Mus musculus: one gene and its partner. The protein of the gene in region 2 interacts with the protein of the main gene of each other region in a pairwise test. Links are inferred from orthologs where the notes say so. Each region holds a gene or a part of one and is shown on either strand. Other genes may lie near its edges. The genes, in order: Maz and Bptf.

The links.
Region 1: the proteins of Bptf (region 2) and Maz interact in a two-hybrid assay, tested with the Homo sapiens proteins (2 studies listed by BioGRID). The link is inferred for Mus musculus from reciprocal best matches to the Homo sapiens genes BPTF and MAZ.

The regions. Positions count from the first base shown.
Region 1 is NC_000073.6:127,024,171-127,028,072, reverse strand, and holds the start of Maz (myc-associated zinc finger protein), read left to right. Parts: upstream 1-1,593; 5' UTR 1,594-1,653; coding exon 1,654-1,845; intron 1,846-1,918; coding exon 1,919-2,769; intron 2,770-3,133; coding exon 3,134-3,197; intron 3,198-3,332; exon of another isoform or gene 3,333-3,457; coding exon 3,458-3,629; intron 3,630-3,902. Other genes in the region: kinesin-like protein KIF22, read left to right, coding at 1-3, 83-280. UniProt on the Homo sapiens protein: Transcriptional regulator, potentially with dual roles in transcription initiation and termination.
Region 2 is NC_000077.6:107,129,620-107,133,521, forward strand, and holds the start of Bptf (nucleosome-remodeling factor subunit BPTF), read right to left. Parts: upstream 2,529-3,902; 5' UTR 2,304-2,528; coding exon 1,655-2,303; intron 1-1,654. UniProt on the Homo sapiens protein: Regulatory subunit of the ATP-dependent NURF-1 and NURF-5 ISWI chromatin remodeling complexes, which form ordered nucleosome arrays on chromatin and facilitate access to DNA during DNA-templated processes such as DNA replication, transcription, and repair.

The DNA of each region.
Region 1 (3,902 bases), on a different chromosome or scaffold from region 2:
GAGGTAACAACCCTGGGGACAGGTGCAGTGGGGGGGTCCCCGTGCTGTGTCCACTCCCTTCCTAGTGTTGCTGTCCCACTAGGTGGAGGACTTGGAACAGGTGGAAGGCATCTCTGGGAAGCAGGTGGAGTCTTTCCTGAAGGTAAGGCCACCTTTGCCCTTTCTGCATGGTGTTCCCCCACCGCAGCCCACCTTAGGCTGCTATGCTAACGCACGTTCCTCTTCTTTACAGGCGAATCTCTTGAGCTTGGCCGCCAGCCAGCACAGCGGTCCCTCTTGACACTACCTTCTTTTAAAAATCCTTGTATAGTGACGTGTTGTGTAAATACAGTTTTTATTCCATGGTTGAGCCTGGTTTTTGAGGATGACAGGGCTGGGGTCAGAGTCCATAACTACCCTGGGGGTCAGGATCAAGCTCTGCAGGACACCCATGTAGGCGCCATCTTTGGGAAACCCCCAAACTAGGCCAAGATTGTAAATAAACCACTGGAATGGGGAGGGGACGGTGGCCTAGAAGAATCAAAAAGCTGACGCGAAAGCTTAAGCACAGCGACCGACCGTTAAGCGGGCACGCGCTCCAAGCTAGCCCCGCCCCGCTGTAACTCCCTCGGCGCGCTCCCCACTCTCCCGCTCAGCAACGACGTCCCTGTTATGTGCGCGTGCGCGCGAAATAACGGCCGCTGGCGGAGGGAAGTGGGGGGTGGAATCGTTCAAGTGGGGGAAGAGAAGCCGCCTAGTCTCCCGCGCGCCCACCACCTGCACCATCGCCAGCCAATCAGCAACCGTCTTGGGGGTCTCGCGCTCGGGGCGACCGGGGCTGCTGGGTGGCTCCCCAGTCCCTCCGCCCTCTAGAGTCCCTCCTGTCCCTCCCCCTCCCGCTGGCCCCGCGCGCACTCGCGCTCGCGCCCGCTCCAGCCTCTTGTGTGTCCTCGCGCCCCCCGCCCGCCCTCCGGCGCGCAGTGTGCGCCGCTCCCCCACCCTCCTCCCCCCTCCCTCCTTGCGCGCCTCCTCCTTGGGTCCCCCTCCCCCACAGCTGCCTCCTCCCGCCCCAGGGTGAGCGCGAGCCACCTCCCTCCTCCCTCCGCCATGGATCCCAGCAACTGGAGCAGCTTCATCTTCCAGGTAACAACCCCCGCCCCCCCCGCCCCTGCCCCCCCTCCCACACCCCCTCCTGCCCGCCCTCCCTCCTGTCCCACACCCCCTCCGCGCGCCCGGTGCGCGCGCAGCTGTCCCCCTCCCTCCCTCGCGCCCTCCCCCGCCCTCCCCGAGGCGCCGGCTGGGCGCGCGCGCGCGGCGGGGGCCGAAGCTGCTCCCTCGCTCCCCCCACCCCGCCCCGCCAGGCTCCAACCGCCGCCACCACCGCCGCCGCCGCCGCCCGGGCCCCCCGCCCCCGGCCCCGGCCCTCGGCCCCGCGGGGCCTCTCGCCCCCACCCAGGGGGCGTCGCCGCCGCCGCCGCGCTCCGCGCCCCACAAGACGCCCTCCTTCCCTCCCTCCCGCCGGCCGGGGTGCGCGGGCGGCGGGGCGGCCCTCGGGCCATGCGTTCGGCTCGGCCCAACCCGGCCGGCCGGGGGCGGCGCCCCGAGCCCGGGCCCCGCGCGGCCCGTGCCCCCGGCTCCCGCTGAGCTCCGGGGGCCCCCACTGTGGCCGAGGCCATGTTCCCCGTGTTCCCTTGCACGCTGCTGGCCCCCCCCTTCCCCGTGCTGGGCCTGGACTCCCGGGGGGTGGGCGGCCTCATGAACTCCTTCCCGCCACCTCAGGGTCACGCCCAGAACCCCCTGCAGGTCGGGGCTGAGCTCCAGTCCCGCTTCTTTGCCTCCCAGGGCTGCGCCCAGAGTCCATTCCAGGTGAGTAGGGGCCGGGCCGGGCGGGCAGGCGCCGACCAGCGACCGCGGCCCACACGGCGCCTTGTCTCCGCAGGCCGCGCCGGCGCCCCCACCCACGCCCCAGGCCCCGGCGGCCGAGCCCCTCCAAGTGGACTTGCTCCCGGTTCTCGCCGCCGCGCAGGAATCAGCCGCGGCGGCGGCGGCTGCTGCGGCGGCTGCCGCTGCAGTGGTTACTGCACCCCCGGCCCCTGCCGCCGCCTCCACAGTGGACACAGCGGCCCTGAAGCAGCCTCCGGCGCCTCCTCCGCCACCCCCTGCCGTCTCCGCACCAGCCGCCGAGGCCGCGCCCCCCGCCGCGGCCGCCACTATCGCAGCAGCGGCTGCCACCGCTGTCGTCGCCCCAACCTCGACGGTCGCCGTGGCCCCAGTTGCATCTGTCTTGGAGAAGAAGACAAAGAGCAAGGGGCCCTACATTTGCGCCCTGTGCGCCAAGGAGTTCAAGAACGGCTACAACCTCCGAAGGCACGAAGCCATCCACACGGGAGCCAAGGCTGGCCGGGTCCCTTCGGGTGCTATGAAGATGCCCACCATGGTGCCCCTGAGCCTCTTGAGTGTCCCCCAGCTGAGCGGGGCCAGCGGGGGTGGGGGAGAAGCCGGGGCTGGCGGCGGCACAGCCGCGGTGGCGGCCGGTGGCGTTGTGACCACGACTGCCTCTGGGAAGCGCATCCGGAAGAATCACGCCTGCGAGATGTGCGGCAAGGCCTTCCGCGACGTCTACCACCTGAACCGACATAAGCTGTCGCATTCGGACGAGAAGCCCTACCAGTGCCCTGTGTGCCAGCAGCGCTTCAAGCGCAAGGACCGCATGAGTTACCACGTGCGCTCACATGACGGCGCTGTGCACAAGCCCTACAACTGCTCCCACTGTGGCAAGAGCTTCTCCCGGTGTGCAGGGGCCTCGCTGCCCACTAGGCCGGTGGGGGGGAGGGCAACAAGGTGGCCTGTCTTTGGCTGGTGGGGAGGCGGCTCCCGTTCCTGGGGACAGGAACCACTCCCAGGGAGGAGGGAAGTTGCTAGGAACAGGGGGTGGTACTTTAGAAGAGGTGGGTCTCTGGGCTGAAGGAAAGCAGCCTCTGGGCAGAAGAGGAATCTTGGTTTGAGGGCTTTCCTGCCTGAGGACTGAAGCTGAGGGGGAAACGCTGGGACCTTTGCAGAGGCATTTTGGAGGAACCTAGGTAGATTTGAGGCACACCTTACCTTGGAGCCTAAGCCCTAACACACACCCCCTCCCACCTCAACATATCCCTAGGCCGGATCACCTCAACAGTCACGTCAGACAAGTGCACTCAACAGAGCGGCCCTTCAAATGTGAGGTAGGAAGCCAGCTTCCTCCTGTCCTGGTTTTCATGATTTTGATCCTCATTGTAGCTGTGTGGGTTCAGCCTCTCAGACCCCCTTTTTCTCTCTCTTTTTGCCTCTTCACTCCATTTTCACATTTCTCCTTCAAGGCCTGGTCATCTCACGCCCATTTCCTACAGATCAAAGACCCCCGAGACTCTGATCCCCTTATCTTGCTCCCTTCTCTCTACTCCCCGAAGCTTTAACTCTCCTGTGACCCCACACCCTCCCCCAGAAATGTGAGGCAGCTTTTGCTACGAAGGATCGCCTCCGAGCGCACACAGTCCGACACGAGGAGAAGGTGCCATGTCATGTCTGTGGCAAGATGCTGAGCTCGGCTTATATTTCCGACCACATGAAGGTGCACAGCCAGGGCCCTCACCATGTCTGTGAGCTCTGCAACAAAGGTACATGCTAAGGGGTGCCAGGAGGGCAGGGACTAAAAAGGGGGGCACAGAGCTGTTGGGTTTTTTTTCACCGATGTGGGTCAAGGGTGCTGCAGCTAAGAGCTTGTGGCGAGTAGAGAGAACTCTTTAAGGGGCAAGTACAACAGCATTGGAAACACCACCACTAAATTATGTGCCATGGTTCACAGGAGACCGTCTACCAGAAATTCAACCTCATGGGTGTGCTTGGGAGAATGAAGTGGGACGTGGTTACTTTGAGAAAGGAATAGCCAA
Region 2 (3,902 bases):
TGCCAAAATGCCTCAGTCCTAACTCAAAAACTAACTTCCTCCACTACTGCTGTCTTCAGCTCAATTTTGAGCTCTTGATGCAGATGCCCAACTCGTAATTTCTTAAAGTAAAACCTAGTACTATAAAAGACACACTAAACTAAGTTGGCAAGAAATTAAACTTGCTAAAAGATAGCCCCTCCCTCCAGGTCCCATAAAATAGGCAACCTTCTTCAAGACAGGCAAAGGAAACTAGCTTTTTTCACTTGGTGTTAACCAATCTAATCTGGCTTAATTCTCATACTTGCAGCAGTTAGGATCTTAAGCAGTTATAAATGAAAACACTTAAATTTAACCACTCCTAGTACCCTCATCTTCTCTGAAAAACGGTAGACAGGCTCTCATAGGAAAAACCCTCATATGTCCTCACTTACTTTGTAAATGTCCTTACAATTAGATCTTAATTTTATCAATCAGGTGAATAAAAACTTAAGAAAAAGCCTGAAAGTCTGTTGCTACAAGTTAAGGGTCCCCCCCCCCCATAACTATTCATTTAATACAAAGGAGCAATTGCACATGTGCCTTTTACTTGACCCACATCTCAGGACCCACCTCAAGAAATTATTCGAGAAAACATCAGAGAATTCACCACTACTGATGAAGCCCACCGCTGATTCAGGAAGGGCTTTTTCCTCAGAAACAGAATAACAAGAAAAAGTCCTGTCGGGTCCAATCTGACACTTCTATACCGTGACTTCAAAAAGTTCATCTTTGGCAATTGCGCCTAGATGATCAACCACACATCTTCGGCAACAGGTGCCACGAAACTGCCATCTCCCACGCAAAGTCAAAATCAATCTGGTTAGGACACACGGCCCCGTGGTGTTATACTTTTATTTGGAACTTAACCAGAGTACTTTTAAATCGGAAGGATTGCCAAACTTGGTTTGGTCTAGTTTTCTGCTTTGCTCTTTAATCAGCATTTACCAGCAACTGTTGCACGCGACCATGAGTACTCACTCGAAGAACACAAACAAGCGCTCAGGACCCCAGGAAGCTCCCAAGCTCACCGAACAACAATCCTTCCTCCAAAACAGTTACCAAACTAGCTAACTAGGGTGTAGGAAAGGGAGAACGTCTAGGTGTGGTACCACCATCGAAATTCTCTTTTAAGGAACAGATAATTTTTCTTTTAAATCTAAAACAAAACGTATTAGACATGCAACGGTTTGCAAAGCAGGAGGCTTCTTTCATCGCAAAATAAATAAATAAAATACTCGTACCAAAACAAGGGGAGAAAGACGAACTCAATGGATACTTGTGTGCCAAAGTTTCAATCCTGCCTGGTGGAGCCACCGCACTTGGCACAAATTTTGAAGGGGATAAAGAGGGAGGGGGGAGAAGAGCGAACGAGTCTGTGGCCTGCAAACTGCAACAATGCAATCTCCATTTTGAACAATGCGCCTCTTTCCTCTTGCAAATCTAGTTTTGTTTTTGTCTTTTTTTTCTTTTTTTTTTTTTTTTTTTGTCACTAGACGCGCCGTGGCCTCCGCGTGGGGGACAGGCCGGGAAGGGGGGGGGGAGCTAGGAAGCAGGATGCACTGCACTGGAGAGGGAGCAAGCCAGGGGGAGGGAGGAGGTGGGGAAGGAGTCTCCCGGCGGCCTGGGTGGTTACCTGGAGTGCTGCTGTATGTACTATGGCTCCTGAAGCTGCTTTCCGTGCAGTAACTAGCGTCGTCGTCGTCGTCTTCCATCTCCTCCGGATAATCGGAGTCATCGTCGTCTTCTTCCATGTCATCTTCCTCCTCGTCCTCGGAATCCTGGGTCTCCTCGGCGTCGCCATCCTCCTCCTCCTCCTCGTCCTCCTCCGAGACCATGTCCTCCTCCTCGTCGTCGTCGTCACTCTCGTGGTCATCGTACACCACTTTGTTGACGGCGCGGCGGGCCGGGGTGGTCCGGGCCAGGTGGCCGCCCCCGCCCCCCGTCCTGCCGCCCCCGCCTCCTCGGCCCCCCCGGCCCGGGCCGCTGGCGCTGCTGCCGGAGGCCGGCGGTGGCGGTGGCGGCTGTTTCCTGCGGCCGCCCCCCCTGGGCGAGCTCAACCGGGTCTTGGGCGCCACCTCAGCCTGGGCGGCGGCCCACCTGCCCCGACTGCTGCCGCGGTGCCGCGAGCGCAGCCCCCCTATGGGTCCGGAGGCGGGCGGCGGCGGCGGCGGCGGTGGCGGCGGCGGTGGTGGCGGCGGCGGCGGCGGCGGCGGGGCCGGGGCGCAGCGCTCCGCAGCAGGAGCCGCGGGCTGCTTGGGCGGCCTGCCCCGCCGGCCCCTCATGTCGGAGCCGCGGCTTGCGGGGGGGTGGGGGGGGAGCGGAAGGGGTGGGGGAGGGGCGCGGGGGGCGCCGGGGCCGAGGGGGAGGGGAGGGCGCCGGGGTCCGGGCGGGAGGGGCGCGGCCCGGCAGCGGCGGGGTGGAGGGAGAAGGCTCAGTCCGAATTGCCGGGGCCCCGCTCCGGATCGCCTGCAGCCGCCATCTTGTTTCTTCCCTCTCGCTCGGTGACTGGGGGAACCGACAGCGGCCGCAGGCCCGGAGCGCGGTCACGTGAGCTGCGCCGCCCGACGAGCCTGGGACAGAGCGAGGCGGCGCGGCGGCCGCTAGGGGGAGCGCGGGAGCGGCGCGGCGGGGGCGGGGAGGCCCCGGAGCGCCCCTGCGCGGCTGCACGGCGGCGGCGCAGGAGCGAGATGGGTAGCGTGGGGTGTCCCCCCAGGCTGGGGTCTCCTCCTGGGAGACCACCTCCCCCTCAGCTGAGGTCTTAGGGAGACCTCAATGCGTGTCTCCCAAACCGGGGCCGGAAAACAGGGAATTTTCCTCCCAAGTCGCCGGTCCTTTTGGGAAACTAATGCAAAAAAAGGGGAGAGGGGCGTCTCGCGTAGAGGCACGACTTACAGACTGGGGGCAGTCACTACGCAAAGCCACCCACGCAGGTACAGGAGCTGGAGCTAAGTCAGTCCCAATAGAGAGCTCCCAAAGGCTTGGATCTAGAGGGTCCTGAAGTTGTTCCAGGAATGCACGCTGGGAGCCACACCCCCAGCGTGGTTTCACTGACTTTCCTGAGTTCCCACCCTCAGAGCCCGGGGTTAAATTCCAGAGCGTGGTTCCTAGCGGCCTCCAGGCACCTTTCTCTCTTCCCAGCTACGAACTTCCACACCTCAGCCAGAACTTAAGGATAGGAAGGATGGCGTCCTGTCTAGAATTGGCTTCACAAAGTTATGTGTTTGTGTTACCTGGAAATAATGTCTACCTGACAAATTACCAGTCTTGGTTTGACCTAGGGTGCTAGTCACTAAAGTGAAATCGCAGGCACATGCACCAAATGTTGCTAAATTGAGGTGGCTCAACACAGGGTCCTCGGGGTGGACTCTGGAAAGAAAAGAAAGGTTTAAGGAACCTATATGAGTGATTATTAATAGATGTGAGAACAGAAAAAGTAATTTGAAGAAAAATCGTTAATAGGATTCAGCCCACTAACTAACTGACTTATTACAATATAGTTCGGTGAATAGAAATGAAGTGAAAATTACTAATTGCCAACTAAGTTATTATGTATTCACTTTGGTTGATCTCTGAGAGTGGTAAACTTACCCACAGGGACCTCATAAGACACCAAAGGAAAGAAAGTAAGCCACAAGAGTTCTTGGGTAAACAAAGGCTGCAGCTATAGCAATGCAGGCCCAAATAAGCAGATCTTCTGATATTCCTTGGTGATAGTGGGTGTTTTATTTTGTTTTATTAGGGCAAGGTCTCGCTGTAAGGCCCTGGATAGCCTGGAAATCACTATGTAGACCAGGCTGCCCTCCAGCTCCTAGTAGAGATCCACCAGCCTCTGCTGGGAGCAAAGGTATATGGCACCACACCCTGCAGTGGTGGGTTTTGCC